Callithrix jacchus: one gene and its partners. The protein of the gene in region 3 binds, or shares a complex with, the protein of the main gene of each other region. Links are inferred from orthologs where the notes say so. Each region holds a gene or a part of one and is shown on either strand. Other genes may lie near its edges. The genes, in order: SART1, CWC27, SNRPD3, RBMX2, PRPF6, PLRG1 and BUD13.

Evidence for each region.
Region 1: SNRPD3 (region 3) and SART1 share a complex: the UniProt entries of both Homo sapiens proteins name them as parts of the U4/U6-U5 tri-snRNP complex. The link is inferred for Callithrix jacchus from reciprocal best matches to the Homo sapiens genes SNRPD3 and SART1.
Region 2: SNRPD3 (region 3) and CWC27 share a complex: the UniProt entries of both Homo sapiens proteins name them as parts of the minor spliceosome. The link is inferred for Callithrix jacchus from reciprocal best matches to the Homo sapiens genes SNRPD3 and CWC27.
Region 4: SNRPD3 (region 3) and RBMX2 share a complex: the UniProt entries of both Homo sapiens proteins name them as parts of the minor spliceosome. The link is inferred for Callithrix jacchus from reciprocal best matches to the Homo sapiens genes SNRPD3 and RBMX2.
Region 5: SNRPD3 (region 3) and PRPF6 share a complex: the UniProt entries of both Homo sapiens proteins name them as parts of the U4/U6-U5 tri-snRNP complex. The link is inferred for Callithrix jacchus from reciprocal best matches to the Homo sapiens genes SNRPD3 and PRPF6.
Region 6: SNRPD3 (region 3) and PLRG1 share a complex: the UniProt entries of both Homo sapiens proteins name them as parts of the minor spliceosome. The link is inferred for Callithrix jacchus from reciprocal best matches to the Homo sapiens genes SNRPD3 and PLRG1.
Region 7: SNRPD3 (region 3) and BUD13 share a complex: the UniProt entries of both Homo sapiens proteins name them as parts of the minor spliceosome. The link is inferred for Callithrix jacchus from reciprocal best matches to the Homo sapiens genes SNRPD3 and BUD13.

What each region holds. Positions count from the first base shown.
Region 1 is NC_133511.1:123,045,706-123,049,492, forward strand, and holds part of SART1 (U4/U6.U5 tri-snRNP-associated protein 1), read left to right. Parts: coding exon 1-109; intron 110-244; coding exon 245-451; intron 452-1,109; coding exon 1,110-1,234; intron 1,235-1,321; coding exon 1,322-1,437; intron 1,438-1,519; coding exon 1,520-1,656; intron 1,657-3,787. UniProt on the Homo sapiens protein: Plays a role in mRNA splicing as a component of the U4/U6-U5 tri-snRNP, one of the building blocks of the spliceosome. May also bind to DNA.
Region 2 is NC_133503.1:144,762,369-144,766,867, forward strand, and holds the start of CWC27 (spliceosome-associated protein CWC27 homolog), read right to left. Parts: upstream 2,881-4,499; 5' UTR 2,674-2,880; coding exon 2,632-2,673; intron 1-2,631. Other genes in the region: protein SREK1IP1, read left to right, coding at 3,295-3,307. UniProt on the Homo sapiens protein: As part of the spliceosome, plays a role in pre-mRNA splicing. Probable inactive PPIase with no peptidyl-prolyl cis-trans isomerase activity. As a component of the minor spliceosome, involved in the splicing of U12-type introns in pre-mRNAs.
Region 3 is NC_133502.1:195,106,385-195,110,751, forward strand, and holds the start of SNRPD3 (small nuclear ribonucleoprotein Sm D3), read left to right. Parts: upstream 1-1,321; 5' UTR 1,322-1,417; intron 1,418-1,603; exon of another isoform or gene 1,604-1,678; intron 1,679-3,533; 5' UTR 3,534-3,549; coding exon 3,550-3,675; intron 3,676-4,367. Other genes in the region: protein GUCD1, read right to left, coding at 1-189. UniProt on the Homo sapiens protein: Plays a role in pre-mRNA splicing as a core component of the spliceosomal U1, U2, U4 and U5 small nuclear ribonucleoproteins (snRNPs), the building blocks of the spliceosome.
Region 4 is NC_133524.1:126,051,120-126,054,906, forward strand, and holds part of RBMX2 (RNA-binding motif protein, X-linked 2), read left to right. Parts: intron 1-2,568; coding exon 2,569-2,698; intron 2,699-3,787. UniProt on the Homo sapiens protein: Involved in pre-mRNA splicing as component of the activated spliceosome. As a component of the minor spliceosome, involved in the splicing of U12-type introns in pre-mRNAs.
Region 5 is NC_133506.1:59,454,019-59,458,585, forward strand, and holds the start of PRPF6 (pre-mRNA-processing factor 6), read left to right. Parts: upstream 1-1,719; 5' UTR 1,720-1,828; coding exon 1,829-1,899; exon of another isoform or gene 1,900-1,954; intron 1,955-3,573; coding exon 3,574-3,742; intron 3,743-4,567. Other genes in the region: SAMD10 (sterile alpha motif domain-containing protein 10), read right to left, coding at 25-115. UniProt on the Homo sapiens protein: Involved in pre-mRNA splicing as component of the U4/U6-U5 tri-snRNP complex, one of the building blocks of the spliceosome.
Region 6 is NC_133504.1:42,068,111-42,072,370, reverse strand, and holds the start of PLRG1 (pleiotropic regulator 1), read right to left. Parts: upstream 2,836-4,260; 5' UTR 2,750-2,835; coding exon 2,741-2,749; intron 1,418-2,740; coding exon 1,311-1,417; intron 315-1,310; coding exon 172-314; intron 1-171. UniProt on the Homo sapiens protein: Involved in pre-mRNA splicing as component of the spliceosome. Component of the PRP19-CDC5L complex that forms an integral part of the spliceosome and is required for activating pre-mRNA splicing.
Region 7 is NC_133511.1:16,405,169-16,408,955, reverse strand, and holds part of BUD13 (BUD13 homolog), read left to right. Parts: intron 1-370; coding exon 371-455; intron 456-2,646; coding exon 2,647-3,480; intron 3,481-3,787. UniProt on the Homo sapiens protein: Involved in pre-mRNA splicing as component of the activated spliceosome. As a component of the minor spliceosome, involved in the splicing of U12-type introns in pre-mRNAs.

The DNA of each region.
Region 1 (3,787 bases), on a different chromosome or scaffold from region 3:
CGTGAACCTGGTGGATAAGGAGCGGGCAGAGAAAAATGTGGAGCTGCGGAAGAAGAAGCCCGACTACCTGCCCTATGTGGAGGATGAGAGTGTGGATGACCTGGCACAGGCACGTGGCGGGCAGGCTGGGTGGGCGGCGGGGGATGGGGCGGTGAATGTCGGGAGTCGGGGCTCTGAGGAGGTGGTGGCTAGGTGGGTTTTCAGGAGCCAGCCTGGGTTCCAACCTGTGCCTCTTGCCCTGCAGCAAAAACCTCACTCTATCCTGGCTAAGTACGACGAAGAGCTTGAGGGTGAGCGGCCGCACTCCTTCCGCCTAGAGCAGGGCGGCACAGCTGATGGACTGCGGGAGCGGGAGCTGGAGGAGATCCGGGCCAAGCTGCGGCTGCAGGCTCAGTCCCTGAGCACGGTGGGGCCCCGGCTGGCCTCCGAGTACCTCACGCCTGAGGAGATGGTGAGCCTTCTCGTGCCTCGTACTCGATATCACAATTCTCCCTCCCTCTCGGCTCATGCACTGCCTGCAGGCACTCAGAAGAGAGGCCGAGTGTTCATGTTTGCAAAGTGCTTGGCCTTGTGGGCGAGCAGTAAATGGCATCTGGGGGAGTACCGGGTGTGGATGGATCAGGGCTGCTGAGCCACATGGGCCTCAGTCTGTATTCGGGCTCTGCCATGCTGCCAGCCCGTGCCCTGGGTGAGCCATTTAACTGTGAGCCTGGGGCACCCCATCTGGAGTGTCAGTGACAAGAGCCGCCTCCTGAGGTTGCTGTGAGGATGAGTGACAGCATGGGTGAGGGGTGACTGGACAGGTGTGTGTGGCTCTTGCCCGTGGAGTGACTGTAACATGAGGTAGACAGCCAGTGCAGTAGGCGTCTTGCTAAGTGTTCCCTCACTTAGGAGTGGGCAACCTTGGCAAGGTACTTAACCTCTCTGTGCCCAGTTTCCCCATCTCATGAGTGGATTGGAGATAGTAACCACCCCACGTGTTACTCATGTGTGGGAAGCGCTCAGGAGACTGGCTAGCACAGAGGAACACCTAAGAGGTTCACCCTTGAGGGCTGTGGTGGGCCGCCTCTCCGCCACCCCGCTCTATGTCTCTCCTCTCTTCCTCTCAGGTGACCTTTAAAAAGACCAAGCGGAGGGTGAAGAAAATCCGAAAGAAGGAGAAGGAGGTAGTAGTGCGGGCGGATGACTTGCTGCCTCTCGGGGACCAGACTCAGGATGGGGACTTTGGTTCCAGGTGGGCTTGGACATGGTGGCAGGAGGAGAGGGCTGGGCTGGGGTGGCCTGGGGGCTGGTGCTCACCAGAGAGGCCTTCTTCCCTCAGACTGCGGGGCCGGGGTCGCCGTCGAGTGTCCGAGGTGGAGGAGGAGAAGGAGTCCATGCCTCAGCCCCCGCCATCAGACGACACCCGAGTGGAGAACATGGACATCAGTGATGAGGGTGAGGGCCCGGCAGGGGGTGGAAGGGGGCAGGGACAGGGTTGGGGAAGATGGTCTGAGCAGGCATCCCGTGTTTCTCCCAGAGGAGAATGGAGCTCCGCCGCCACCGGGGTCCCCACAGGTGCTGGAGGAGGACGAGGCAGAGCTGGAGCTGCAGAAGCAGCTGGAGAAGGGGCGCCGGCTACGACAGCTGCAGCAGCTTCGAGACAGTGGCGAGAAGGTGAGGCTGGGCGCAGGCAGGCCTGGGGCTCCCGGTGCATTGGCCTATCCTCACAAGCACGTGCCCTTTGTCATGGCAAACAGCCACATTCCTGTCTGAAGCCTCTTTTCTGTTTGTTTTTTGGGTGTTTTTTTTTTTTTTTTATTTTGATACGGTTTCACTCTGTCACCCAGTCTGAAGTGCAGTGGTACGATCTCTGCTCACTGCAACCTCCATCTCCTGGGTTCAAGCGATTCTCATGCCTCAGTCTCCTGAGTAGCTGAGATTACAGGCGCCCACCACCGAATCTGGCTAATTTTTGTATTTTTAGTAGAGACTGGGTTTCACTAGGCTGGTCTTGAACTCCTGACTTCAGGTGATCTGTCCACCTCAGCCTCCCAAAGTGCTGAGATTACAGGTGTGAGCCACTGCGCCCAACCCTCTTTTCTGTTTAAAGTCATGTTTTGTGCAGGTTTTGAGACGTCTGCAGTGTTTCCACCGCCAGATACCTGCTTAGTGGGGGATCCTTTCCTTTCCTGTGTGTGTTTGTTGAATGCCTACTGTGAGTAGTGCATTATTCTTGAGCTGGGAGGGTCATTGGTGAACAGGACAGCTGCAGGGCCCTGGGTTCATGGAGCTGGCTTTCAGAGTGTGTGGGGGAGAGGGGTGGCAGCAGGTGGACAGGCTGGCGTTTAAGCCATAGACCAACCAGAAGGTATATCAGAAGAATCAACCTTAAAGTGCCTGAGGACCAGGGAGGCAGAAGCAGAGAGAGGGTGGTGTGAGCTGAGATGGAGAGGCTGGGAGCCAGCGCAGGGGGAGCCTTGAGCCCATGGCCATCACTGCCTCGCCGGCACAGTGTGCCGGGCACTGCTCTCCTGCTCTGTGTTTGTTCCTGTGAGGAAGGTTCTGTCACCTCCATCATTGCCGAGGCCACATTTTTAGCCCTACCCCACACTTTTTACCTAGGAAGAAGCCAAGAAAGGGTATCCAGGAGAGGGAGTAAGGGAGGGAGGCTTCTGATGCGACTGGGAGGTAAAGTGGGGACTGTTCGAGTGGATTCAGGGCTGGGAGGATGAGAGTTGAGAAGGTGAGGGCTGCGCCTGGGACGGAGGGCAGGCTTGGTATTGAAGGGCTGCAGAGGACAGATTTGAGGTTTAAGGGTGTGTGGTCTCTGTCAGGCCCCTTGTGTGCTCTGCTATTGTAGGAAAAACAGCTAAGACAATCTGTGAGTGGGCGTGGCTGGTTTCCAGTGACACTTTATTTCTAGGTAGTGGGACATAGTTTGCCCAGTCTATCTGTAAAAAAGAACGGAGAAGGCCGAGCCAGGTGGCTCACGCCTGTAATCCCACCACTTTGGGGCGCTGAGGCGGGCGGATCACGAGGTCAAGAGATCGAGACCATCCTGGCCAACATGGTGAAACCCCATCTCTACTAAAAATACAAAAATTAGCTGGGCATGGTGGCACACGCCTGTAGTCCCAGCTTCTCGGGAGGATGAGGCAGGAGAATTGCTTGAACCTGGGACGCGGAGGTTGCAGTGGCTGAGTGCCACTGCACTCCAGCCTGGTACCTGACAATGGAGCAAGACTCTGTCTCTCTGTCTCGAAAAGAAAAAAGAACAGAGAAATGGGGCGATAGACTGACAGGGCTGTGTGTTTTATGACTGAAATGAATGTAAGGGTTATTAGCCCTGAAGTTCTTAGCCTGCCTGCACATTAGAAACCTAGGAGGTTGTTTTTGTTGTTGTTTTAAGAAACAAGGTCTTGCTCTGTTGCTCGGGCTGGAGTGCAGCGGTGTGGTCATAGCCCACTACATCCTTGAAATCCCAGGCTCAAGGGATCCTTCTGCCCCAGCCTCCCAAGTAGCTGAGACCACCACCACACCTGGCAAATAAAAAAAAAATTTTAGCAACAGGGTCTCACCTTGTTGCCCAGGCTGGTCTCAAACTCCTGGGCTCAAACAATCCTCTCGCCTCTACCTCCCAAAGTGCTGGGGTTATAGGCATGAGCCACCTGGCCTGGCCTAGCCTAGAAAGCTTTTAAAATATATGAGCCACACCCCACATACCAGCAGAAAAGTGAAAGTGTATTCCAGTGAACACCTGTGTCTTCTAGAGTCAGTAATTATAAACATTGTTAAAGTTCTTTCT
Region 2 (4,499 bases), on a different chromosome or scaffold from region 3:
ATTCCTATACACCAATAACAGACTTAAAGAGAGCCAAATCAAGAACAAACTGCCATTCACAGTTGCTACAAAGAGAATAAAATACCTAGGAATACAACTAACAAGGAACGTAAAGACCTCTTCAAGGAGAACTACAAACCACTGCTCAACGAAATAAGAGAGGACACAAACATATGGAGAAACATTCCATGTTCATGGTTAGGAAGAATCAATATCATGAAAATGGCCATATGCCCAAAGTAATTTACAGATTCAACGTTATCCCCATCAAACTACCAATGAGCTTATTCACAGAACTGGAAAAAACCACCTTAAACTTCATATGGAACCAAATGAGAGTCCGCATAGCCAAGTCAATTCTGAGTAAAAAGAACACAGCGGGAGGCATCACCCTACTGGACTTCAAACTATACTACAAGGCTACAGTAATCAAAACAGCATGGTATTGGTACCAAAACAGCGATATAGACCAATGGAACAAAACAGAGGCCTCGGAGGCAACACAACAAATCTACAACCATACAATCTTTGATAAACCTGACAAAAAGAAGCAATGGGGAAAGGATTCCCTGTTTAATAAATGGTGTTGGGAAAAGTAGCTAGCTATGTGCAGAAAGCAGAAACTGGACCCCTTCCTGACACCTTACACTAAAATTAACTCCAGATGGATTAAAGACAAACATAAGACCTAACACCATAAAAACACTAGAAGAAAATCTAGGCGAAATTCAGGACATAGGAGTAGGCAAGGACTTCATGACCAAAACACCAAAAGCATTGGCAACAAAAGCCAAAATAGAAAAATGGGACCTAATCAAACTCCATAGTTTCTGCACGGCAAAAAAAAACAGTCATTAGATTGAATAGGCAACCAACAGAATGGGAAAAAATTTTTGCAGTTTACCCATCTGATAAAGGGCTGATATCCAGAATTTACAAAGAACTAAAACAGATTTACAAGAAAAAAACAAATAAGCCCATTCAAAAGGAAGTGAAGGATATGAACAGACACTTTACAAAAGAAGACATACATGTGGCCAACAAACATGAAAAAATGCTCATCATCACTGGTTATTAGAGAAATGCAAATCAAAACTACATTGAGATACCATCTCACGCCAGTTAGAATGGCGATCATTAAAAAATCTGGAGACAACAGATGCTGGAGAGGATGTGGAGAAATAGGAACACTTTTACAGTGCTGTTGGGAGTGTAAATTAGTTCAACCATTGTGGAAGACAATGTGGCGATTCCTCAAGGACCTAGAAATAGAAATTCCATTTGACCGAGCAATCCCATTACTGGGTATATATCCAAAGGAATATAAATCGTTCTACTATAAGGACACATGCACACGAATGGTCACTGCAGCACTGTTTACAATAGCAAAGACCTGGAATCAACCCAAATGCCCATGGATGATAGACTGGACAGGGAAAATGTGGCACATATACACCATGGAATATTATGCAGCAATCAGAAATGATGAGTTCGTGTCCTTTGCAGGGACATGGATGAACCTGGAGAACATCATTCTCAGCAAGCTTACACAAGAACAGAAAACGAAATACCGAATGTTCTCACTCATAGGGGGGTGTTGGACAATGAGAACACATGGACACAGGGAGGGGAGCACTACACACTGGGGTCTATTGGGGAAAATAGGGGAGGGACAGCGGGGGGTGGGGAGTTGGGGAGAGATAGCATGGGGAGAAATGCCAGATATAGGTGAAGGGGAGGAAGGCAGCAAATCACACTGCTGTGCACCTATGCAACTATCTTGCATGTTCTTCACATGTACCCCAAAACCTAAAATGCAATAAAATAAATACTTTAAATATATAAATAAATAAAAATTCAGGTGATACTTATTCTACAACTGACTCTTCTGCCTTGTACTGTATACAAACACCTTGGATGGGAATTGGCATACATTAGCCATTAAATCAATCAGAGAAACATTTTTCCATTCTAATGTGGTAATATTCCCCATTTCCCCCTTTCTCTGAATGACAGTCATCTCAGGTTTTAAAACCAGCTCAAAAGATAGCTTCTCCATGATGCTTTTCCTAACTTTCCCAATTGTTCACTACTCAGTATTACCATAGTAACATGGTCTCTTCTCTACAAGCACTCTTATCAGACATACAAGGCTTTTGTTTACCTGCCTGTCTCTAAACTGTAAGCTCTTCCTGGAAAACTACCTTACCTATGCCTCTTTGTATCTCCGGCGCCTAGTACAGTGCCCAGTGGCTAGCAGGCGTTCAATTAATGACTGTAGAAGAAATGGAGAATTAATGACCTCCAAGTTAAGCAAAGAATATATCAAACTCAAAAATGTACTTTTAAAAACTTAAGGCCCTAGATATAGGCTGCGTGAGTTGGGTTAAGGCAGAAAATATGACCGGAACGCTGCTGGATAGGGAAATCTCCACTTGACTTTTTCAAGTACATGCTGAGAAGTACCAGCTTCAGTGTTTCGATGCAACATTGTCCACAGGAAGAAGTAAAGACAACACTTCTCGTGGTCTCTTCCTACCACAAGATCCCTGAACCCATTCCCCACCCCAAATCCGGGAAATCTCATTTTGGGGATCTCAGGGCCCCAAGTTCCCTAGATGAAGCTCTCACCTTCCCATTCGTGGGAGGCTCCTGGATGTAGATGTTGCTCATCGCGATCAGTACTAAGGACTCTGCTCCTTATGGGGGATGAGAGTGGACGGCGGGTCACGAAAGCTGTCCGCCTACGAGCACACTCTTCGTTAAGTCGAGTGGTCCAGGAAAGCTTCAGTTTGTCAACATCACGCAAGACAGGAACACCAAACACTACCTTTGCCCAAAACAACCCCTCTCGGACGCCGCCATGTTGTTATCGGACCCGAGCACCGCTAATGCTGAGAAGGGTGATTCCAATGTACTCCTGGGTACAAAAAAAAGTCTGTAAAGCTACTATGGCTTAATGTAATTTGTATTACAACATTAGAAGAGGCACTTCGTAAGTTTTGGCGGTGTTTACTTCACTACTTGCGTGTGCAGATCGCACTCAGCACCCCCCAAAACTAACAGTAATGGTCCGGACCATGTGTCTTCTGCAATATGACTCGTCCGGAAACCGCATCTGCGTCTACTGGTTCTGTTGTCGCTAGAGGCTTACAGGGCCTTCCGACTGTAGCGAAGGTGCTGCCGCTCTGGGGAAGGCAAACGCCGCTTTGGCTGTGCCTTGTCCTCGCAGCTGGCGGGAAGCAAGCGCCTTTTCGAAAGCCGGAGGCTGCAGTGACCCCTGTCACCACCGTCATGGCGGTCCCAGGTAAGGAGCCACTGCGTCCGAGCTCGGAAGGGAGCGCAAGGGAGGATAGGGTAGGGTGCAGGATGTAGGGAGCAGCGCCCATGGGGATTTAGGTGGAGGCCTTAAAATTCATGAGTTTGTTTTGTTTACGTGAAAAAGTTTACAGTCCAAAGAAAAACTCTGAAGGAAAGAAAGTAACTATCTTCCTCCCCCCGCAACTGCATGGGATTACAGGGAAAGTATATCGTGGAAGGGAGGGAGAAGGGAGAGACTGTAATTGTAGGCCTAAGGGGGCAGGCGGCCAAGAAAAACTACCTTAACTGTGGTATGGCTTTAAAATAGAATTTGAAGTGGAAACACTTGGCCGACTCAGGTAACCGGAGCCATCGTTTGTCTTAGAAGTCGCTAGGACCTGCCGGGTGTCTGGGTTCTACTCCTAGCCTTTCCTGTTGTAGGTAGCTGCTCTGTGGCCACAGATTGGTCTCTTTGTGCTTCTGGGCCTCAGTTTTCTTATAAAAACATGGAGCTTTGTTGAATGATGTATAAGATTTCTTCTGAGTCTCAAATTCTGTGTCCAGAAGTTACTGCCCTAAAAATGGTGAACTCGCAGAATAATTAAAAGATTTTCTCGTCCTCAACTACTAGCTTACTTGGAAGTTCTAGTAGGGGAGTGCATCTCCTTAAACCGGCTTTGCGAACACTGGTTGCAGGAGATATTTTCAGGAATATACACTCCTCCACCCTATCCCCCGCAACTTGGAAATTCACAGTGCACTTTAGTAATAGAAAGGATTCTGAAAATTACCATGGTTCAGAGCCCTGTTTAAACCTACCTTTCCCAGTATTATTTGACCAGATAATCTTTGTTCTGTGGCAGCCTTTTTGAACCTCATTCTACAGATACCTGTTATGGGAACATTGGCTTTTGTACCAACTGCAGTTTGGGGAGGAGTACATCTGGAGCTGTGAGAGAGGAAGTGTACACTCTATTAAGTGCCTATTGTGTGCCAGGCACTGGAGGCATTGAAAATACAATCGTGAGCAAGGTAGACATGGCTACACTTCACACAGAACTTAGAATTTAGCAGCGAAGAGAGAGAAATTTACAGAAAATAGAACAACTGCCATGGCAAGGAAAATACAAGAACTTAGGAAGCACATAGTAAGGGCACCAAACACATAGAGGATGGGCAGAAGGACTCCAGAGGATGTA
Region 3 (4,367 bases):
CATGGCCCCAGCCCAGAGCGGGCTACAGCTTCCGCTTCGGCTGGGGCGGGAGGGCGGCCGGTGCGTCTCCAGTTCCTCCGCCGCCACCGCCGCCGATGCGGTGGGGAGAACTGGAGGCGGCGGCTGGGCCTCCCCAAGGCCCGCCCCGGCCCTTCTAGTTCGCGAATCTAAAGGCCCCGCCCCTTCCATAAGCCCCGCCCCAAACTTTGATTCTAGACGCCCCCAGTCTCTCGATTTAAGCCCGCCCCGGCCATTTGCCGCTTCTGCGTCGGGTGGCCCCGCCCCGTCGCCCAATCCTCGCGTAGACGCGCTGCCCACCAGGACACGGGCCCCGGAAGCCCCACCCCTTTCCTTGAGGCCCGCCCCGAAGCTCGTGCACTTAGTGCAGATGCTTCCTAGAGGTTCGTCTCTTCAGCAAACTCCGCCTCTGCCGTGACCCGCTCCTTTGCAGCCTTAGGTGTAAGCACCGGTCCCGCCCAATGCATTGCCGAAGCGCCAAACAACTCTCTTTTTATTTTTTTATTTTTATTTTATTTTATTTTTTGAGACGGAGTTTCGCTCTTGTTACCCAGGCTGGAGTGCAATGGCGCGATCTCGGCTCACCGCAACCTCCGCCTCCTGGGTTCATGCAATTCTCCTGCCTCAGCCTCCCGAGAACCTGGGATTACAGGCACACACCACCATGCCCAGCTAATTTTTTGTATTTTTAATAGAGACGGGGTTTCACCATGGTGACCAGGATGGTCTCGATCTCTTGACCTCGTGATCCACCCGCCTCGGCCTCCCAAAGTGCTGAGATTATAGGCATGAGCCACCGCGCCCGGCCACAACTCTCTTTCAACTGCCTTTAGGGATGATCCTGAGCCGGCCGCCGCCCTACTCTATACCTAATTTTATCCGTACGAGATACCTCGCCCCGCTCAGGGCGCCCCTTACCTAGCGGTGCCGGGATCAAAAAATTAAATTGTGAGGGGGAAGTCCTGGCCCTTGGCCCAACCTCCTGCTGCCCCGGGTCTGACGGCCCAGGCCCCGGGTCTGACGGCCCAGGCCCCGGGTTTCCGCCTTGCAGTCCAGCCTGTCCTTGGTGTGGGGTGCTTGGAAGTGCGAGCACCCTCTGCGGCTCGTTGCCGGCCCAAGGGTCGTTGTTTCCGGCGGCCCTCGGGCCCAGTTATCAGCCGTCTCTTCTGGTGCCGGAACTATCGTAGCGGTGCCCTAGTTTCCCAGCCGGCGGGCGCAGCGAAGAGGAAGCGGAGACGAGACCGCACTTACCAATGGGGAAAGGAAGGAGGTGGGCCCTGCGCGCTGCATTTTGGGAACGATTGGAATTCTGGGAGCTGGGCCCGCCATTCGCTGAACTCACGCCTTAGCCGTAGACTCATTTGCCGCCGCACCGAAGAGGAGAAGGAGGCCGGAGCTGGTGAGGCTGGGGACGGGCAAGGGGGGGTCGAGGGGCCACTCGCTGCATGGAACTCTGCGGGGCTCGGGGAGGGAAGAAAGCGGGAAGCTTGGGCCACCCAGACATCAGCGAGCATCGCCTCACTAGCGCCTAGAAGTAAGTTCATTAGCTTCAGCGTGCATGCTTTCACTTTTTGTATCTCTCCAGGTCAGTGTTTTTCAGAGCTTCCAGGCAGTAATCTTGAAGTCATTTCTGGTTGACTGTCTCCTTTCCCCAAATCCTGTGAGTGCTTTTTTCTGTTTATTTTTTCTTTTTGTTTTGGAGTAGTGATGGGTTTCACCATGTCGCCCTTACTAGTCTTGAACTCCTGGGCTCAAGGGATCTACCGGCCTCGGCCTTCCAAAGTGGTGGGATTATAGGTGTGAGCCACCGCGCCCGGCCGATCATTCTTTTAAAAGTTACTTGCATCTCTGCCTCCAGCCCCCTTTCAGGTAGTGGTCCCCTCATGGTTTCCACACTGTTGCAGAAGTTTTAACAAGTTTCTCTGCTTCTAAACCTTACATTCTATCCATTTTATAAATAAATGCTGCCACTTTTTTTTTTTATTCAAAAAAAATTTTTTTTCTTTTAAAGACGGGTTTTCACCATATTGGTCAGGCTGGTCTTGAACTCCTGACCTCAGGTGATCCGCCCGCCTCAGCCTCCCAAAGTGCTAGGATTACAGGTGTGAGCCACTGCGCCCGGCAGTGCTGCTGCTTTTTTCATTACGTCATTCTTTACTTAAAATCGTGCAGTGGTTCCCCACTATTTTCAGTATAAAATGTAGACTCCTAAAGCTGAAAGCAAGGGATCCTCACCAAAGGAACCTGTTTCTTCAACCTCACGTTCTCCTCTGTTAAGTGCACTTACGTTCCAACTTTGAGTCGTTGCTTATCTCAATAAAAAGTTCACTGCTTGATTCTTTTTTTTTTTTAAAGACGGGCTTTCACCATGTTGGTCAGGCTGGTCTTGAACTCCCGACCTCAGGTGATCCGCTCGCCTTGGCCTCCAAAGTGCTGGGATTACAGGCTTGAGCTACCACGCCTGGCTGCTTGATTCTTTTAATTAGGTCAAATCAGGTGATTTCCCTGATTTTCCTCCATGACAAGCATTTCCTGAATAGAGCATATTGTCACTTTGATATTTCCTCATCTTTGATGGTAAAGTAAGTGAGGGGTTAAAGGGCTGAATTAAAAGTGCAGCCCCCTCTCCTAGGTGTTCATGGGTCCTTTGGTCTGTATCTGCACCTTCCATAGGGGAGCCACTAGCTACATATGGCCATTGAGCACTTGGAATATGGCCACTGGGATTGAGACTGGGTTTTTTATTTTAATTTTATTTTGTTTTAAGTAAGTTTAATTTAAATAGCTACATGTGGACATGAGCTGTATTGGACAGCTCAGGCCTATATAATTTTCAAAATGTAATCATGTACAATTACGGTTGACAATAACAATGCAACAAATAACATTCTAACCCCCACTCCGCAACACGAACAGTATTCGCTAATGGTCATTTAGATGAAGATTAAGGGACATAGGGTAGTAGGGACATGTGGTTGATGGGAGAGGCTCTCTTTTCATTTCTATTTTTATCTCTGTCCAGCCCACCATTCCTTCTCACCCCACATCTTGCACATATTTGCCAGATAGTTTCCTCCAAGCCAGGAGCTGAGTTGTTTTTGTTTTGTTTTATTTTATTTTGTTTTTGTTTTTGTAGAAAATGTAGCTTTGGGCCGGGCGCAATGCTCACGCCTGTAATCCCAACACTTGGGAGACCAAGATGGGTGGATCACGAGATCAGGAGATTGAGACCATCCTGGCTAACACGGTGAAACCCCATACTAAAAAAGTAGCCTGACTTGGTGGGGCAGGAGAATCTCTTGAACCCTTGAGGCAGAGGTTGTGGTAAGCCTAGATTGTGCCACTGCACTCCAGCCTTGGCAACAGAGAGAGACTCTGGCTCAAAAAAAAAAAAAAATTCAGTTTTGGCATTTTTGCTAAGTTTTATGGAGGGCTAGGCCTTGAAGGAAGCACAGTATGTGCTGCATGCCTTCTCAGTCTCTGAATGATGAACTGACTGTTGCCTCTCTCATTAGAACTCTTCCTGCCAAGATGTCTATTGGTGTGCCGATTAAAGTACTGCATGAGGCCGAGGGACACATTGTGACATGCGAAACGAACACCGGCGAGGTATATCGTGGGAAGCTCATTGAGGCAGAGGACAACATGAACTGCCAGGTATCCTGCTTTGCACATGAGGCTATGTGGGAGGAATGGACCTGTGTCTCAGAGGAACGGAAAGGTGTGGGTTGGGGGTCTTTGAAAAAAAATTGTTCTCATTCAGCAATGATTTTCTTTTGTTTGTTTGTTTTTTATTATTTTTATTTTTCTTATTATTTTGTTGTTGTTATTTTTCAGCAATGATTTTCTGAGTGCCTAATGCATGCCAGGCACTGTTGTTACAGGCTCTGGGAATGTGGGCATGAACAAGGCACAGTCTTGAGGCAGGAAAGCCATTGGAGGTTTGGAATATTTTACTTTGTCCTTTTTGTTTTTTCCATCCCCAGAGTTGGGGGCCTATTTGAGGGAAGTGCTACTTCAGTAGAATTCTTCAGATTCAGAGCCATTATCCATTTGCCTTCACTTGCCTTGTGGTTAGCAGAATCTTCTCCCATACTGTATTTGTTTCCCTTTTCTCTTGGAGGGAGAATCTCATTTGATTATTGCAACTACCTTGTGAGGTAAGCAGGTTTGGTGATAGTCTTGACATCCATAAAATAGGGAGAGTGAGATTAAAGGACTCATCACTGATAATAAATAATGGAGTAGTTTCCTGATATGGTGTCCTTCTCATGGCACAACTTGGCCTTTTGCATAGTCATCTGAATTTTTTTTTTTTTTTGAGACAGTTTCGCTCTTGTTACCCAGGC
Region 4 (3,787 bases), on a different chromosome or scaffold from region 3:
AGGATCACTTGAGGCCAGGAGTTCAAGACCAGCCTGGGCAACATAGTGAGAACTATCTCTGCAAAAAAAAGTTTTTTGAGTCCATATTTTCCCCAGCAAATTGGTATGTCACCCTTATCATATACTATTTGTTTTCATGTATACTTGAGTCTCTTTCTTAGCTTTTATTCTATTGGTCTATTAATTTTCCAATACCACACTAGTAATTTCAGTCTGTCTGATATCTGATAAGAGTTACTCCCCCTCATTGTTCTCATTAAGAGTTTTCCCAGCTATTTTTACATGTTCTTTTTTCCATAAGAATTTTAGAATTAACTTATTCAGCTTTCAGGAAAGAAACCAAACTGGTATTGTTATTGGAATTATATTAAATTTACATTAACTCGGGAGAAGATTTTGATACCTTATGATAGTGAGTCATCCTGTCCAAGAACAAGGGATACCTTCATATTTGTTCAAATCTATGTTTGTGACTTTTGGGAATTTTAAAATAGTTTTCTTTATATGGGCTTTGTACATTTTTTGTTGATAAGTATATTTCTAAGTACTTTGTCTTTTTTTGCTATGATAAATACGATTTCCCTTTTATCATTTCTTCTGATTATTGTTTCTGTATAACAGAGTGATTGATTTTTAACTTTATATCTTGTTGCTTTACTGAATTGTTACGCTCTGTTTTTAATCATTGTTTATCATGGATTCTCTGGGTTTTCCATGTATACTATCATATGTAATCTACAAAAGGATAATTTTACTTCCTTTTTTTCATTTCTTATATCTGTTTTACCTAATTGCATTGGCCTATACCTTCATTTTAGTATTAAATAGTTTCTAAACTTACTTGAATCAGCTCTAGTATTTCTCATTAAGTAGATTGCTAGATTTTGGGCTGAAGTGTATGTATGTGATTATGTAACATACCTGTCAATTCCCGTTTTATTTTTATGACTTTATTTTTAAATTTATAAACCTCTAACTTATCTGGAATTTATCTTGCTGCAAGGAGTAAGGTAGTCTTTTATTCCTAATGTTTTTTCTTTTTTGAGACAGAGTCCCACTCTCTCGCTCAGGTCACAGTGTAGTGGCATGATCCTAGCTCACTGCAGCCTTGAACTCCTGGGCTCAAGTGATTCTCCCCATTCACCCTCCTGAGTGGCTGGGACTACAAGTGAACACTACCATGCCTGGCTAATTAAAAAACTTATTATTTTGTAGAAACAGGGGTCTTGCTGTATTGTCCAGCTTGTCTCAAACTCCTGGCATCAAGTGATCCTCTGGCCTTGGCCTCCCTAAGTGCTGGTATTACATGTGTGAGCCACTATGCCTGATCTTTTTTTGTTTGCTTGTTTTTTTTGGAAATAGGATCTTGTTCTGTTGCCCAGTCTGTCTTGAACTACTGGCCTCAAACAATACTCCTGCCTCCCAAAGTGCTGGTATTACATATTATAGGTGTGAGCCACCATGCCTGGCCTTTTTTTTTTCTATTTAATTCTGCCTTTTTATCTATTTGGTTTTTTTTTTTTTTTAGAGACAGGGTCTTGTTCTGTTGCTCAGGCTGGTCTCAAATTGCTGGCCTCAAACAATCCTCCCATCTTGGTCTCCCAAAGTTCTGGGATTACAGGCATGAGCCACCATGCCTAGCCAAATTTCTGCCTTTATCTTTATTAGCTCCCATCTGCTTTCATTAGGGTTGCTTTCTTCCTTTATATTCATCCTTTTTGTTCACAATAAAATTATTTTAAAGTTACAAATTTTCCTATGATGTTAGGTACATTTCATAAGTTTTGGTATATATTCTTCTCATTTTTGCTATTTTCTAAATAGTCTGCCATTTTAAAAAAAATATTTTGCTTCATCTTCTCTTTCATCCAGTTATTAAGAGAGTAGCTTTCAAGTTCTAGTTAGGTAAGGTGTTTTTTATTTAAAATATCATTTCCAGCTTTAGGTCTGTCTGTTTTTTGGAGTATAATTATTGAGGTTTACATTGAGACCTAATCCATAGTCTATTTTAGTACAATCTTCATGAATTCTTGAAACTGTCATCTTGTAGGATTCAAAGATATCTATGTATCTAATTACATTAATATTTGTTTGTATAATTGTTATAGTAATTATGTATATTAATTAATCTGATCTTATTTCTGTCCACTTTGTGCATGATAAACTTCAAAGTGATTTGTTAAATTCTTCCATAACTTTTGCTATTAGTTTTTCTTTGCATTTCTGATAGCTTTTTTAATTAAAAATTTTGATTTCTTAATTGACCTAAAGTTTTCCTGACTTATACCTTTGTTTTGTATTTAGGCCTTTTTCAGTGTAAAATAATCTTCTTAGTTTCATTTTTTATTGTGGCCTTGAATTAGCCTTTGCTCTTGATATTAGTGCCTGTTTTTTAATTGGGTACTCCTGTTCTTGTCTGACTTTTTCTTTGTCATGACCTTTCTGTATCATCTCGTTCTAGATGTATCTCTTGTACATACTGTATTATTTGAATTTTGTTTTATTACCTTATCTGCATGTTTTTGCCTTTTAAGTCAATAGTGTCTTACTCTTTTATAAAATAAATAGATATGGGGAGATTGTTAACATTAATCTCGTGCGGGACAAGAAGACTGGGAAGTCCAAAGGATTTTGTTTTCTCTGCTATGAAGACCAGAGGAGCACAATTCTGGCCGTTGACAATTTTAATGGGATCAAGGTGAGTGTACTTACTAAGCAGGTTGGTTGGACATTTTTTCCCCTTGTATAGGGGTTTCGTTTTCTACCTGGTTGCCATGGACACCGGGGCAGCACTCGTCAGCTTGGTGTGTTGCAGGGGCTGCAGAGGTGTGGAGACACTGGTCAAAAAGAGATTCCAGGAAATAATTCTGTTGACTTGTGGCCCTGCAGGACTTGCTTCTTTTTCCCATCTGTTAACAAATTGTCTCCCCAGGAGCATAGGTACCAGGCCTGCCTCCCCTCCAGGCCTCTGTTTTTTACCTTTCTTTTTCTTTTTTTTTTTTTTTTTTGAGACGAAGTTTCTCTCTTGTTACCCAGGCTGGAGTGCAATGGCGCGATCTCGGCTCACCACAACCTCCGCCTCCTGGGTTCAGGCAATTCTCCTGCCTCAGCCTCTGGAGTAGCTGAGATTACAGGCACGCACCACCATGCCCAGCTAATTTTTTGTGTTTTTAGTAGAGACAGGGCTTCACCAATTTGGGCAGGCTGGTCTTGAACTCCTGACCTCAAGTGATCCACCCTCCTCGGCCTCCCAAAGTGCCACTGAACCTGATCAGAGGGGTTAATTTTTTATTGTTGTTCACCTGTAGAGTTGTGATTCATAGCGCAATAATCAGTGTGAGCCTACTGTTCCAGTGTGGTGTGGCTAGAGCAAGGTGTGAGGGCTTAAGAAAAAAGAAAGTTTCCTTTTCTCTATTCCTTCCTCTCGCCAAACTGTTGGTCTGGCTTTGCCTCCTAATGACTGTGTCGGGAAAGCAGTTGTAGCATTAAGCTAGATATCAAGAATTCCTTCTAGTTGCCAGACCTTCCTAGGGCATGTTTCACTGTAAACTTATGTTACAGATCAAGGGTAGTTAATTGTGCATCTAAATCTCACAGTCTTCCCTGATGCTTGTGCTTTGAGGTAGTAGTGTTTCCTAGTCTTTTTCATTTTGTGGACCATGTAGAACAGGAAGATATTTATATGATGCCCTGGGGTAAAGTGATGAGGCTGCTGGTACAATTGCCCAGGCCTCACCTGGCTGCCCTGAGAGCTGAGTGTATTAATATTTAGGTGTACATGCTATGA
Region 5 (4,567 bases), on a different chromosome or scaffold from region 3:
GCGCCCCGGTCCAGCCCTGCTCACCGTCCACATCCCGGCGCTCCCCGAAGTCCGCGCGCACGGCCCCGGCGCGGCCTCGCGGGGGGCTCAGCTTGGACCTCAGCTCGGTGAACATGGGGCCCGCGGGAGCCCGGCCCGCCCACACGCCCCTCGCCGAGTGCAGGGCGGCCGGTGTGGCCGGCGGGGAACGCGCGCCGCCGCCCCGCCCCGCCCCAGCCGGCCCCGCTCCCGAGCCGGTCCCCGCGGTCCGCGAGTCTGCGCGGCGAGGCACCTGCAGCCGAGCCCTGTGTGCCGGGCGCGCTCCGGGAGCTCCGAGGTGTGTCGGCGGCGCGCGGGCCTGCGTGCGCCAAGGCTATCCGCCAGGGCGAGGGGCGTCCGTGCGCCCCGGGCGCGGCTCCGGGGAGGAGAGGCCCCGTGCACCTGCTGGGGTCCTCTGAGGTCCGGCCCCTCCGTGCGTAGGGATGGGCTGACGGGCATCTTGCGGGGCCTTCTACCCACAGCCAGGAGAAGGGGCAGATCAGCCCCTCCCACATACTGCCCTCGGCCTCCTGCCTCTTTACTCTCCCTGGAATGGGCACCCGCTTCCCGGGGAAACCAGCTTGACTCTTGCTTACCGCCCACCCCACTGTGAACATTAGGGTTACTCTTCCTTCCCTCTGCAGCCCCAGAACCTGGCTCAGTGCCCGGGGGGCGGTGCAGTCCTCTGTAACTGAAAGGGGCTTGGCTGGAGATGGGACAGAGAGGAACTCCAAGGAGGCTGTAGCAGGCTGGAGCGATGTGTTTGCTCCAGGACTCCAGTGAGAAATGCTGGGCTGGGCTGTGATTGGCTTGCTCTGCCCAGGAGCCTAGGTGCTCTCCCTGGGTGTATGCAGGGGATCTGGAGGATGTCTTACAGCAGAAGGAGCAGAAATGCGTGCACAGAGTAGAGTCATGCACGTGTACCCAAAACGAGCACACGTGACCTCAATGTGCACACACCCCACTAATTCACACACACAGAATTCACCCACATGCTTGACAGCCATGTTTATGTACTGACGTGTTCCTGACAGGTCCGCTGTGGTGATTTCGTCAGTTAGCTCTCCGGGAGCTGAGAATGCGGCCCTCACCAGAATGTCCAAGGCATATTGGGGGCCGTGGGTGGGGTCTCTAATCCCGCTGGAGGCACAGATGCCTGAATGGGAGCCCAAAAATGTGAATGCTAAAAGCACAATGTTGCGGGGGTGCCCCTACGTAAAAGCATAGGGCAGCAGCGTGCGCACAGGACGCCCACAGGCAGGTGTGCCCACAGACAGGTGTGCCCATAACCAGTACGCACAAGCTCTACACAACTGCACGGGGTGCGCTCCACTCGAAAGTGATCAGGGCCCGCCAAGGGCGAGGGCGGGAAGCTGGGCTGGTTCAGAGGGAGGGGGCCGAGGGCCCTACTGGCAGACAGGTCTCCTTGGGAATGCATCAGAGCACTGGGGAAGCAGCGATGCCCGAGGCTCAGCTTTTGGGGCCGTCCCCGGAGCCCGTTAGGGTCCCAGTGCAAGCTCGGCCTCGTTCCTCCTGCCCCGCCACGAGGAGGCGCTCCAGCTCACGCGCCTGCCATGTCCCCGCCCCCTAGCCGCGGCCGGAAGTCGTCAGGAGCGCGTCGGGGCTTCCGCCCGGGGAGTCAAAAGTGGGCGGGCTTTGTGCGGACCGAGCGCTCTGCTTCCGGGGCGCCAGTGACGCGCCAACCGCGACCTCCTCCTACCGAGCGCCTCGGACGTCGGAGCTCGGAGTGTCTGCGTCTTTCTCTCTTCCGCGGCTTCATTCCTTCCTAGCCTTGGTCATCGTCGCCGCCATGAACAAGAAGAAGAAGCCGTTCCTGGGGATGCCCGCGCCGCTCGGCTACGTGCCGGGGCTGGGCCGGGGGTGAGGCCTGGGGCAAGACGTGGGGCGGCGACCCGGCTGGCGGAGCGCAGTGCAGGTGTTTGGGGGCGGGGGTCTTTGGCTGCGCGGTCTGAAAGACACTCGGGGGATCGGCTTAATCCCTGCAGGAAGCCGCGGGCTTTGGGTCAGGACAGACGTGTGTATGCAGCCTGCCTGCTGCATGGTTGTGACGCCCTGGCTGTCAGCCCCAGTGTAAGATGATGCTGTGTGCAGCCTGCAGTGAGGAGTAGTGGAAACGCGGCCGCCTTCCCAGGTCAGGCTGACACCCCCCTCGCCGCGCCTTAAGCGTGCCTGGGTCGGATAAGTGAGCAGTCATTGCTATCCTATCTGATCATTCATTTGATGAGGAAAACTACTGGGTTTTTCTTGGTGGTGATATACTAGAATCTGTGGGGCACACACAAGACTCGGATATTGACTGCGCCTTCAGAGGACCCGAAGCTCATGGAGGGTTTGGTGTTACCATAAATCAGTACGTAAGGAGGATCAGATTTAGAACCCAGTGCTTAATGGAGGGTGTCGTTGGGGCCAAGTTTAGTAGGAGAGCTGGACTTAGGGCTGCCGAAATATGGTAGCGATAGAAGAGAAACTGCCATTGTGTGTGTGGAGAGTTAGAAAAAAGTGAGGCCGCCGGACACGGTGGCTCACGCCTGTAATCCCAGCACTTTGGGAGGCCGAGGCAGGTGGATCGTGAGATCAAGAGATCGAGACCATCCTGGTCAACATGGTGAAACCCCGTTTCTACTAAAAATACAAAAAATTAGCTGGGCATGGTGGCGCGTGCCTGTAATCCCAGCTACTCAGGAGGCTGAGGCAGGAGAATTGCCTGAACCCAGGAGGCGGAGGTTGCGGTGAGCCGAGATCGCGCCATTGCACTCCAGCCTGGGTAACAAGAGCGAAAACTCTGTCTCAAAAAAAAAAAAAAAAGAAAGGAAAAAAGTGAGGCCAGGAGGAAGCCCGGGGAACAGGGGAGTCCAGTGTGAATAGGATGTGCAGCCAGTAGAACAGAGCTTAGGAGGTTGGAGTGGCCTTGAGCCACAGGCTAGAGCTCCTGGAGACGTCGGAAAGACCGTGACCCTTCAGAAGTTTTCAATCAGAGCTGTGTTTTGGGAAGAATCATCTTGCAGAAGATGGGTTGAAGTAGAGGAAGGCTAGAGGCAGGGAGGGCTAACTTGGTTTCCAGCTGTGGTGGGAGTCATAGTCTGGGGAGGAGAGATTTTGGAGGTGGATTCATTAGTACTTAGTGGCAGACAGGATGGAGAGAGTGGGAAAGGGAGGCAAATATTGTGTCATGGACCCACACCCATGGCATGTGGGTCAGCACGCTGAAACACCCCTGAGCAAGCTGTAAGGTGGGCCCAGAAGAGGAGCTCAGTTTGGGCCAAGTTGGGTTTAAGGGCCTGGCTGGATGTGGAGGGGGAGATGATCAAAGCCTTTGGGTGGAGGGATTGCCTTGGAAACGTCATCAGGGTGAGTTGAAACCTTCGGGTAAGTAGAGATCGGTGGTATTTGAGACTGCAGTTCATTGTCACCAGGATCTTTGGAGATTTCCCAGAGGTGTTAGAAATAGAGGTGATATTAAGTGATGACCAGGGGTGGAGAAGAGCCTGGGAACAGGCGCATTCAGATACTGGGTGTCTTGGGGGTCTCCTGCAGTGCCACCGGCTTCACCACACGGTCAGACATTGGGCCCGCCCGTGATGCAAATGATCCTGTGGATGATCGTCATGCGCCCCCAGGAAAGAGAACCGTTGGGGACCAGATGAAGAAAAACCAGGCTGCTGATGATGATGATGAGGACCTAAATGACACCAATTACGACGAGGTGGGATGTGTTGGGCTTCTGTGGCTCCTCCAGCCAGTCTCTGGGAGCAGCTGACCAGCTCCCTAACCAGTGGAGTGGCTCATGCATTTAAAATTTCAGCTATTCACGGGACATCTTTAGCAGAGTGAGAGGGAGCAGGAAAAATACGGAGGAATGTGCACTTTTTATCTCTTCAGAGAGATGTTCTTGCAGATATGAGGACCACTGCCCTGGTATTTTGTATTGGTCAGTCTTTTATCATAAAAACCGAAAGTATTTGGTTTTTTTAGCGTTAGTGGTTGCCCTCTAAAAAGACATCTAAAGGAAAACCTCAGCTGACTGAATACCGATTAACTGTCTTCTAACAGATCACATTTTTCCTCTGAGGAAAATTTTTAAAAATAATTTTAGTTTTGAAATAATTTTAAATTTGCAGGAACTTGCAACAGTAGTGCCAAAAAAAAGTTGAAAAAAGTTGGCCAGGCATGGTGGCTCACATCTGTAATCCCAGCACTTTGGAAAGCCGAGGTGGGCGGATTACAGGATCAGGAGATCGTGACTATCCTGGCCAACATGGTGAAACCCTGTTTCTACTAAAAATACAAAAATTAGTTGGTCATGATGGCACGTGCCTGTAAGCCCAGCTACTTGGGAGGCTGAGGCAGGAGAATCGCTTGAACAAGGAAGTCAGAGGTTGCAGTGAACAGAGATCACACCATTGCACTCCATCCTAGCCACAGAGTGAGACTCCCTCTCAGAAGAAAAAAAAAAGGTTTCTGTGTATCTTTCACCAAGCTTCTTCCCGTCTTACATGACCTTAGCACAGTTATTGAAACCAAGGGGTTA
Region 6 (4,260 bases), on a different chromosome or scaffold from region 3:
TGTCTCAGTATTCCCATGAGGATCAAAACTTCCATTATAATACCAATACAGCCATTAAATACTGTATGATCACAATAAGTTCTGCCAGGAGGGGCATAAATAACCCATTTTATTTTTCTATTTTTAAAATTCACATGTAAGTCCTGACATTTCTGATAATACCATACTCACCTTGATTGGCAGGGTACTGTTTATGACCATATGAATCTGTTGCATTCTGAGGACCCTTCTCTTTAAGGTTTTCTTTTGAAGTAGGCATATGCAACACAGGACCATACTCATTACGAAGCTTGATTGCCATTTTTCGTTTGTGACTATTTAGAAATTATAAACATAAGAACATATCCGTAAATACTTTAAAACAAATACTTGGATAGCTTAAGTTTGCCAAATCATGTAGAAAAAGTTTCTAGTAAGATTTTAAGTCATATTTAAAAGATTAAAAAATTTCCAAGTTCATTTTCCCACCATTATCTGTTTTCTTTTGCTCACATTCCACCACACAGCATTCATTAAACCTAATATTTTAGTTCGTTACCAAATAAATACAAAACCTTTTATGATAAATTATCAAGGGTCTGATTGAAAGATATATAGAAACTAACATATCCTTTAAGAAACCTCAAAATCAATATACTTTCCTTCAATATATAAATATAGTAAGAACTTTATAGCAGCCTTTCTATGTTTCTAAACAGGTTAGTCAAAACTAATCAAAATCCTTAACTGGTTCAGTATTTTAGAAAGAAAGGCACTTATATTACTTTTTAAAATTGTCTACTTTATAAATTAAATATAAATGCTTGTTTGAGGAATTCAGTAGATTTTAAAAGGGTAAAGAACAAAGAAGGAACACTGCACATAATGCAATCCCAGACTAGAGCTGGATATGTAGAACCAAAAATGTGCCACCATTCAAAAATCTTTATCATACTAACGAGAAAAGATAGGAGTAGAGGTACTGGCCAGGTACAATTTCAGCTCAGCAAGGCTCTGAGAGCAGCAGGAAGCTGAAAGCACATACAAAGTGATTTATTATAAAATAAAACACCTAAAAGGGGCTCGCTTAATTACTGGGCATTTATAAAATGCAATTAATTAATGGAACTTTTACTGTAAAAGGCAAAAAAAAAAGTTAAATCAGCTTAAATTATGCCAAAATACCACTCATTATTGAATAATTAGGCCATGAGTATTACTAACTTATCTTTAAAGGTCTCCCTCTCCCTGTTCTCTTTGCCCAATATTAAAATGTTAAATATTTCAGCAACTGGAAAAAAAAAAAAAACAAAAACAAAATCTATACCTACCTCTCTTCATCTAAAGGCACAGGTTTTCCATTATCAGCTACAAACATGTCATGGGTCCTCTTCAACGACCTGAACACAAGTGTGTGTACAGAATGTTTCTGTACCTCCTAAAAAGAAAGAATGCAATTACACACCTACCTATAAATTAAACAAATCATAACATAACGTCAGATTGGTTATACACTTTACATGTTTAAAAATGTAAAAAGCTTTATACACTCATCATAGCTACTAGTTGCAAGCTACAGGAGTCAAGTTCAGAAAAGAGGAAGCTCCTCTTTGGCTAGAAACTCAGGTATAGCAACTGAGTGATGCCTGAGTTTAGTCATTTATTTAACAAATATTTATTGAGCTCTGGCAGGTGTTGTGCTAGAATCTCACAACAAAATGATAAAAAGGTGGTCATGGTCCCTGTGCTCAGGAGGAAACAGTAAAAAGTAAAATAATTCCACATTTTGATAAGTGCTATGAAGGCAACAAGCAAGGTGCTGAGTCAGAGTACGAAGGACTAAGTATAATTGTAAAAGATTTCACTAAGATGATATTTAAGCAGAAAGGGAGTTAGCTTTGCACAAACAGAAGTTAAAACGAACCAGGCTGACAGAAATATTATGTAAAAAGGTGTTCAGTTAACTGAAATAAAACAAGGAGCACAGTACAGCTGTATATGGTGGGTGAGAAGGTGCTTTGTGGTTGCAAGGGTACACAAGGTCCAGATTAGGTAAGGCCTTTTAGACCATTACAACAACCTAATATTTTGTGTTCCAGCAACATAGGGTCAGTAAAGGGTTTTAAGCAAGAAAGGTATGAACAACTTACGTTTTAAACAGAACTTATAGAACAAAATGGAAACAAGGAAACCAGTCCAGGTGAAGGATGCGGTTGGTCTGAATTAAGGTGGACTGCAGTGGTTACAGAGAAGAGTTGATGGAATCAATAAATATATGGGGTAAGATGGACAAGACCAGCTAACAGAGCGGCTGTTCAAGGCAGGGAAAGATGTAAAGAATGGCAAGATTTTCTGGGGGTAGAGATGAAATAAGAGAAGAACCTGAACGCAAGATAAAGAAGGCCGCCAGTCTTTTAGGGCACAGAATCACTGACACTGCCCCGAGGGCGGCGAGTACCAGTGGTCGAACACCAACAGAGGCCCCGCCTCCAAGGACAGTGTCCAGCCCCCAAGAGTCAAACGGGGACTGAACGATTTATCTCAGGCTTCGCGCCCGGATTGAACTTCTGACTCGGGTTCTCATCCGGTTTCTCCCCCTTCCCCGAAAACCTGAAAAAGAGACCACCCGGCCTTGGCCAAATAGCTCCCCTCGTAGCCTCTTTTCTCTCCGGACTCCAAGCACTCTCAATCCCCCACGCCCACTGCCAAAGAAAAACAGTCCAGAGGCAAACGGTTCTTGAGAGCACCAGTGTCACTTTACCTCGACCATGATGCTGCCGTATATCCCACCTCTGGCAGCGACGAAACCCTAATCACTAACGCAGTACCCGCCGCCACAACTGTGCGGCACCTTCCGGAATTGGGCACCCAGGCGGCGGATGTGACGCAACTCTGCGCACGCGCGCTGGTTTCCCCCGGCCATCTGGGATCGGGAGGCGGATCTTCCTCCTCGGGACCGCCTCTAGGGCGGAGTCTCGAAGCTGAGGAGCGGAGACTCCTTGAAGCGCCTGACCGGAGGGTTTCACTCGCACCTCTGAGGAAATCTTACAATTTGTTTTCTTCCTTATCCTCAGCCTTAAATGTTTTGATTGGGGTCCTGGTTGTTCGTGCTGTTTTGCTTGGGGTCCTGATTGTTCGTGCTGTATTACCCGGTAGCTTAATGCTTTTTATTCAGGGAACCTCAGCGTCTGGAGAGCAAACTCCCGTGGGCTCTAAGTCACTTGCACTGCCTTGATCTCTTTGGAGGTCGCCGACGTGGTTTGTCTGCTGGTTCCAGTCCTGGCGAGAAGCACTTGAACACTGTTGTAGGCTTAACGCCTGAAAACAATTTCGCTTAAACAGTCCAGTAAACACTTGTTGAGTGAATGTTGCGGAATAGTTGTTTTAATTTGGAGATTTTTCATATGTAGATATACAAAATAATTTTAACAGTGTAAAACCCCACATTTATTTTCTGCTAATAGGTTGGTTTTTTTTTTTTAGTTTCTCAAAACTGTGTAGCTCTTGGCCATTTCCTAGTTGTCTGCTGATTATTGGGCTTCAACAATGCCAGGATACAGCGTTTCAAAGCTGGTTGAAGAAAGGCACAATTGGAGACTTTAGCCATTTTTATTTTTACATATCCTTGTGCCAAGTATTGATATTTTTGCTTTCTACCCTGGTAAAATCTGCGGTTTGTGGTCAATCCTACCCAATTATTTTTCTATGTAAAATGAAAAATTGATGGACTTGGGCATTTGCAAGCTTAAATAGACAAACACCTTACTGGCCCTGTTTCAGTTTCACTGATCCTGTCCCCAGAGCATACTACATACACTTCGAAAGGAAAAAAAAAAAAAGACCTAGCAAAAGAATAGCAATGTAAATCGATGACCTCACTTGGAAATTTAAAACATTAAGGTCATGGTGGATTTTTGTTTTGTTTTGTTTTGTTTTCGAGATAGAATTTCGCTCTTGTCGCCCAGGCTGGAGTGCAATGGCACGATATTGACTCATTGCAACCTCTGCCTTGCAGGTTCAAGGGATTCTCCTGCCTCAGCCTCCCGAAGAGCTGGGATTCCATCTATGCACCACCACGCCTGGCTAATTTTTGTATTTTTAGTAGAGGCGGGGTTTCACCATATTGGCCAGGCTGATCTTGACCTCCTGACCTCAGGTGATCTGCCCACCTGGGTCTCCCAAAGTGCTGAGATTACAGGCCTGAGCCACCGCACCTGGCCCTAAGGTCATGTTTTTACTTGAAGATGCATCACCTCTGAATTTGACTGATTTTCTGTAAAA
Region 7 (3,787 bases), on a different chromosome or scaffold from region 3:
ATGAGGAGGGCCACCTATGTTTTCACTCTTAATGTAAAAGTAAAAATGTAAAAGGAATTTTGTTGTTAGCTTACAAGTGGCTGTTGTGTACCTAGCAGGTTAATAAAAAGGTTTGTAATGAAAGAAATTAACCTTTGCAGGGAAATTGATTAGTTAGAGAAGGATCTACAATTCAACCAAGACAGTGACAATCAGATGTTTATGGAGCAAACGTAACTGAAGACTCCTACTTATTTCTTCATGACCGTTTTGGATATGTGTGTGCCCTTATGTTAGGAATCGGAATAGTTGTAACTTCAGATTCTTGAGACAATGCTTCTTGGTTGGATCCTGTGAATTTCCTCAGTATAGTAAATCTTTACTCCTGCAGGTGGCAGAGTTTGTGGATGAGCGACCAGAAGAGGTGAAGCAGATGGAGGCCTTTCGTTCCAGTGCCAAATGGAAGCTTCTGGGAGGTGAGTTCCAACAAAAGGCACATCTAAATTTCCATTAGTAGGGGAGGTCTTTTTTCTTTTCCTATACTTTTCTTTTAGAAGAATGCATAATTTGTTTTAGCTTGTCATTGATGCTGAAAAATATAGCAGGAAAAAGGAATTTGGACTTCTTCAGAGGTAGTAAGACATGGGAACTTAGAGACCAAATATTCCTTTCTCTTATATTTTGGCATCAGGGTTACTGAGGTCAGTGACTAATTTGGAGGCCTTTGAGTACCCATTCCTCTTTGACCCAGAATAGGAGAGCACTTGATATAGGCAAGACTTGGGGGGAGTTTACAAGAAACAGGAACAGAATTTGGAGACATTAGCCACCTCTATCCTCTTCCACAATGAAGCAGCTCATTTCTGGGAGGGTCAAGGACCAATGTTTTTTGTTCTGTTTATTTGTGTTAGTAAATTTCTCTCTTCTTTCCTTAAATATTGGCATTTTACAGTGCATTACCCTCCACTTGCCCATTCTAGACTCTTCTTAAGCTAATATTTATAATTTAACCGTCTTAAAAAAAAATGTGAGTCCTTGAGAATTGGATAAAAAGCATTTGTTTATCACATCTGTTTGAGCATAGTCTAGTCTTATTTGCCGTGATGTTCCTCTGTCTAGCACAAGGAGCTACCTAGTAAATAGTTGTAGAATTGTTGAATTGCTAGTAGGGATTTGATTTTTGTAGCCTAATCGGAATTCTTTTCCAAAGAAAATCTTTTGGTTTCTATATCTGTTTGTCTAGGAAGACACACAGACACACACAGTGCTTCTTCTTCTGTATCTGAATGTTTAGAAAGACATACAAACTTGCACACACACAGTGCTTTTTCTTCTGTAACTGAATGTGTGGAAAGTCACACATACATACTCTCTCTCTCTCTCTCTCTCTCTCTCTCCCTCCATCCCCCCCCTCCCTTTCCCTCTCCCTCTCCAACCCTCCCTCCCCCTTCCTTTTCTTCTGCCTTACTCTCACTTCCCTATCCCAATTTGTTACTGGAAATATGCTCACCAGTCTCCGACCCTTACTTCCTTTAGATTTGCTGTTAGGCCCCCACAGACATCATACTTCTCTCTGTGGAGTGGATTAGAATCAGATAGGCCTGTTACCCAAGCTAAAGGGGTTGACTTGGTTTAATTAATCTATTTAACAAGTATTCATCAGGTCCTACCTAGCTGTTATTTGTATTTGGGCTATGGAGCTGAATGACAAGAAATAGAGGTAGAGGAAGAACTGGAATTTGAAACTGTTCCAGTTGCTGTAGATATTTCATTCTGCGGTGCCTCTGAAAATGGAAAGTCTCAAACTATGTATTTTCACTTTAAAGATTTACATATTTTAAAGATTGCACAGAGTCTATGGACTCTGGAGTCAAATAGAGTTGGATTTAAATATATCTCCACCACTTATTAGCAGTATGACTTGGGCAAGTTAATCTTTCTGAGTATCAGCTTCCTCATGTGTAAAATGGAAATAACAATATTTACGTCCCAGGCTTGTTAAGAGAATTGAATCAGGTAATCTCTACATTGGCACACAGTAGGTGATTGGTAAATGCTTGTTCCTTTTTCTTTTTTCCCGGTGGTGATTTTTCCCCTCTCTAACAAAGAACACAGTGAAATGGATTAAATAGTTAACAGCATTTTATTTTGATGTTCGTTGGTTTAGTCAATTTACCTTTTGAAAGAAGGGTGAGTATGAACTATAAAGTATCTGGGCTAAATATCAGTAGGAGCCACTGTCTGGTAACTGCACAAATGAGGTTTTAGAAAGAGCACTGGACTGGGAGTTAGGAGACTTGGATTCTAGCCTGTATCTTCATCTTAGTAGCTGTGACCTTAGGTCAGAAATCACTCAGCTCCTCAGCTGAAAACATCATGCTGTAATACAAGGGTACCTGCCCTGCTTGTCTTATAGGGTATAATATAAAAAATGTACTGGAAATACTTTGCACATTTATGACTTAGTAGGCAAATAAGACAGGTTATTCTTAAGATATTCATGAGTGCTGGTTTGCTGCTCCTAAGCAAGGAAACTACAGGACTTTTGGGCTTTCTGAGCAGTTCTGAGGTTATGTGCTGCTGGAGCATCTTTTGAAACTGGGTGTGAAGCGGGGACAGAGGGACAGAGCATTTGTGGGAATCTGACTATTTGTTATTTGTGTTTAGGCCACAATGAAGACCTACCCTCACATGGGCATTTTCGTCATGATACCCCAGATTCATCTCCTAGGAGAGTCCATCATGATACCCCGAATTCGTCTCCTAGGAGGGCCCGTCATGACTCCCCAGATTCTTCTCTCCTCAGAGGAGCTTGTCATGACTCAGACACATCTCCCAGGAGGATCCGTCATGACACCTCAGACACTTCACCCCCAAGGAGGGCCCGTCATGATTCTCCCGATCCTTCTCCCCCCAGGAAGCCCCAGCATAATTCTTCAGGTGCATCTCCTAGGAGAGTCCGTCATGATTCACCAGATCCCTCTCCTCCTAGGCGAGCCCGTCATGATTCACCAGATCCCTCTCCTCCTAGGCGAGCCCGTCATGATTCACCAGATCCCTCTCCTCCTAGGCGAGCCCGTCATGATTCACCAGATCCCTCTCCTCCTAGGCGAGCCCGTCATGATTCACCAGATCCCTCTCCTAGGCGAGCCCATCATGATTTCTCAGATACCTCTCCCCTCAGAAGGGCCCATAACAACTCCCCTAACACATCTCAACCTAGGAGGACTCTTGCCTCTTCAAACATGCAGCAACTCAGAAGGGCTCGTCATGACTCCCCTGATTTGGCTCCTAATGTCACTCATTCCCTGCCCAGAACCAAAAGTAGTAAAGCCCCAGAAAGAGCCTCTAGCAAGACTTCTTCACATTGGAAGGAGTCAGGAGCCTCTCATTCGACACTCCCAAAGAACAGCAAATATGAGTATGACTCTGACCTCTCTCCTCCACGAAAAAAGCAAGCAAAATCTCATTTTGGAGATAAGCAGCAGCTTGATTACAAAGGTGAGCATATGACTGTCCATGAGAGGGATGTGTGTATCCCCTGGGAGCTTTCTTTTGGCCCTTTACTTGCTTTATAAGGTCTAAGAATGGAGTTTCTTTGGGAAAGTTTTGAAAAGTGAGAGGCTGGGGTTGGGAGAGTTAAAAAATTACGGTGGTAGGGAGGAAGGTTTTCATATATCTTTTTATTTACTTGCCCCACCCCATATAAAAGTACAATTTTTTTTGTTGCAGAAGCTTTAGAATGTACAGAAGTGTATAAAGAGAAAAGTGACACAAAATTCTGTCATTCAGAGGCAATTGTTAGTGT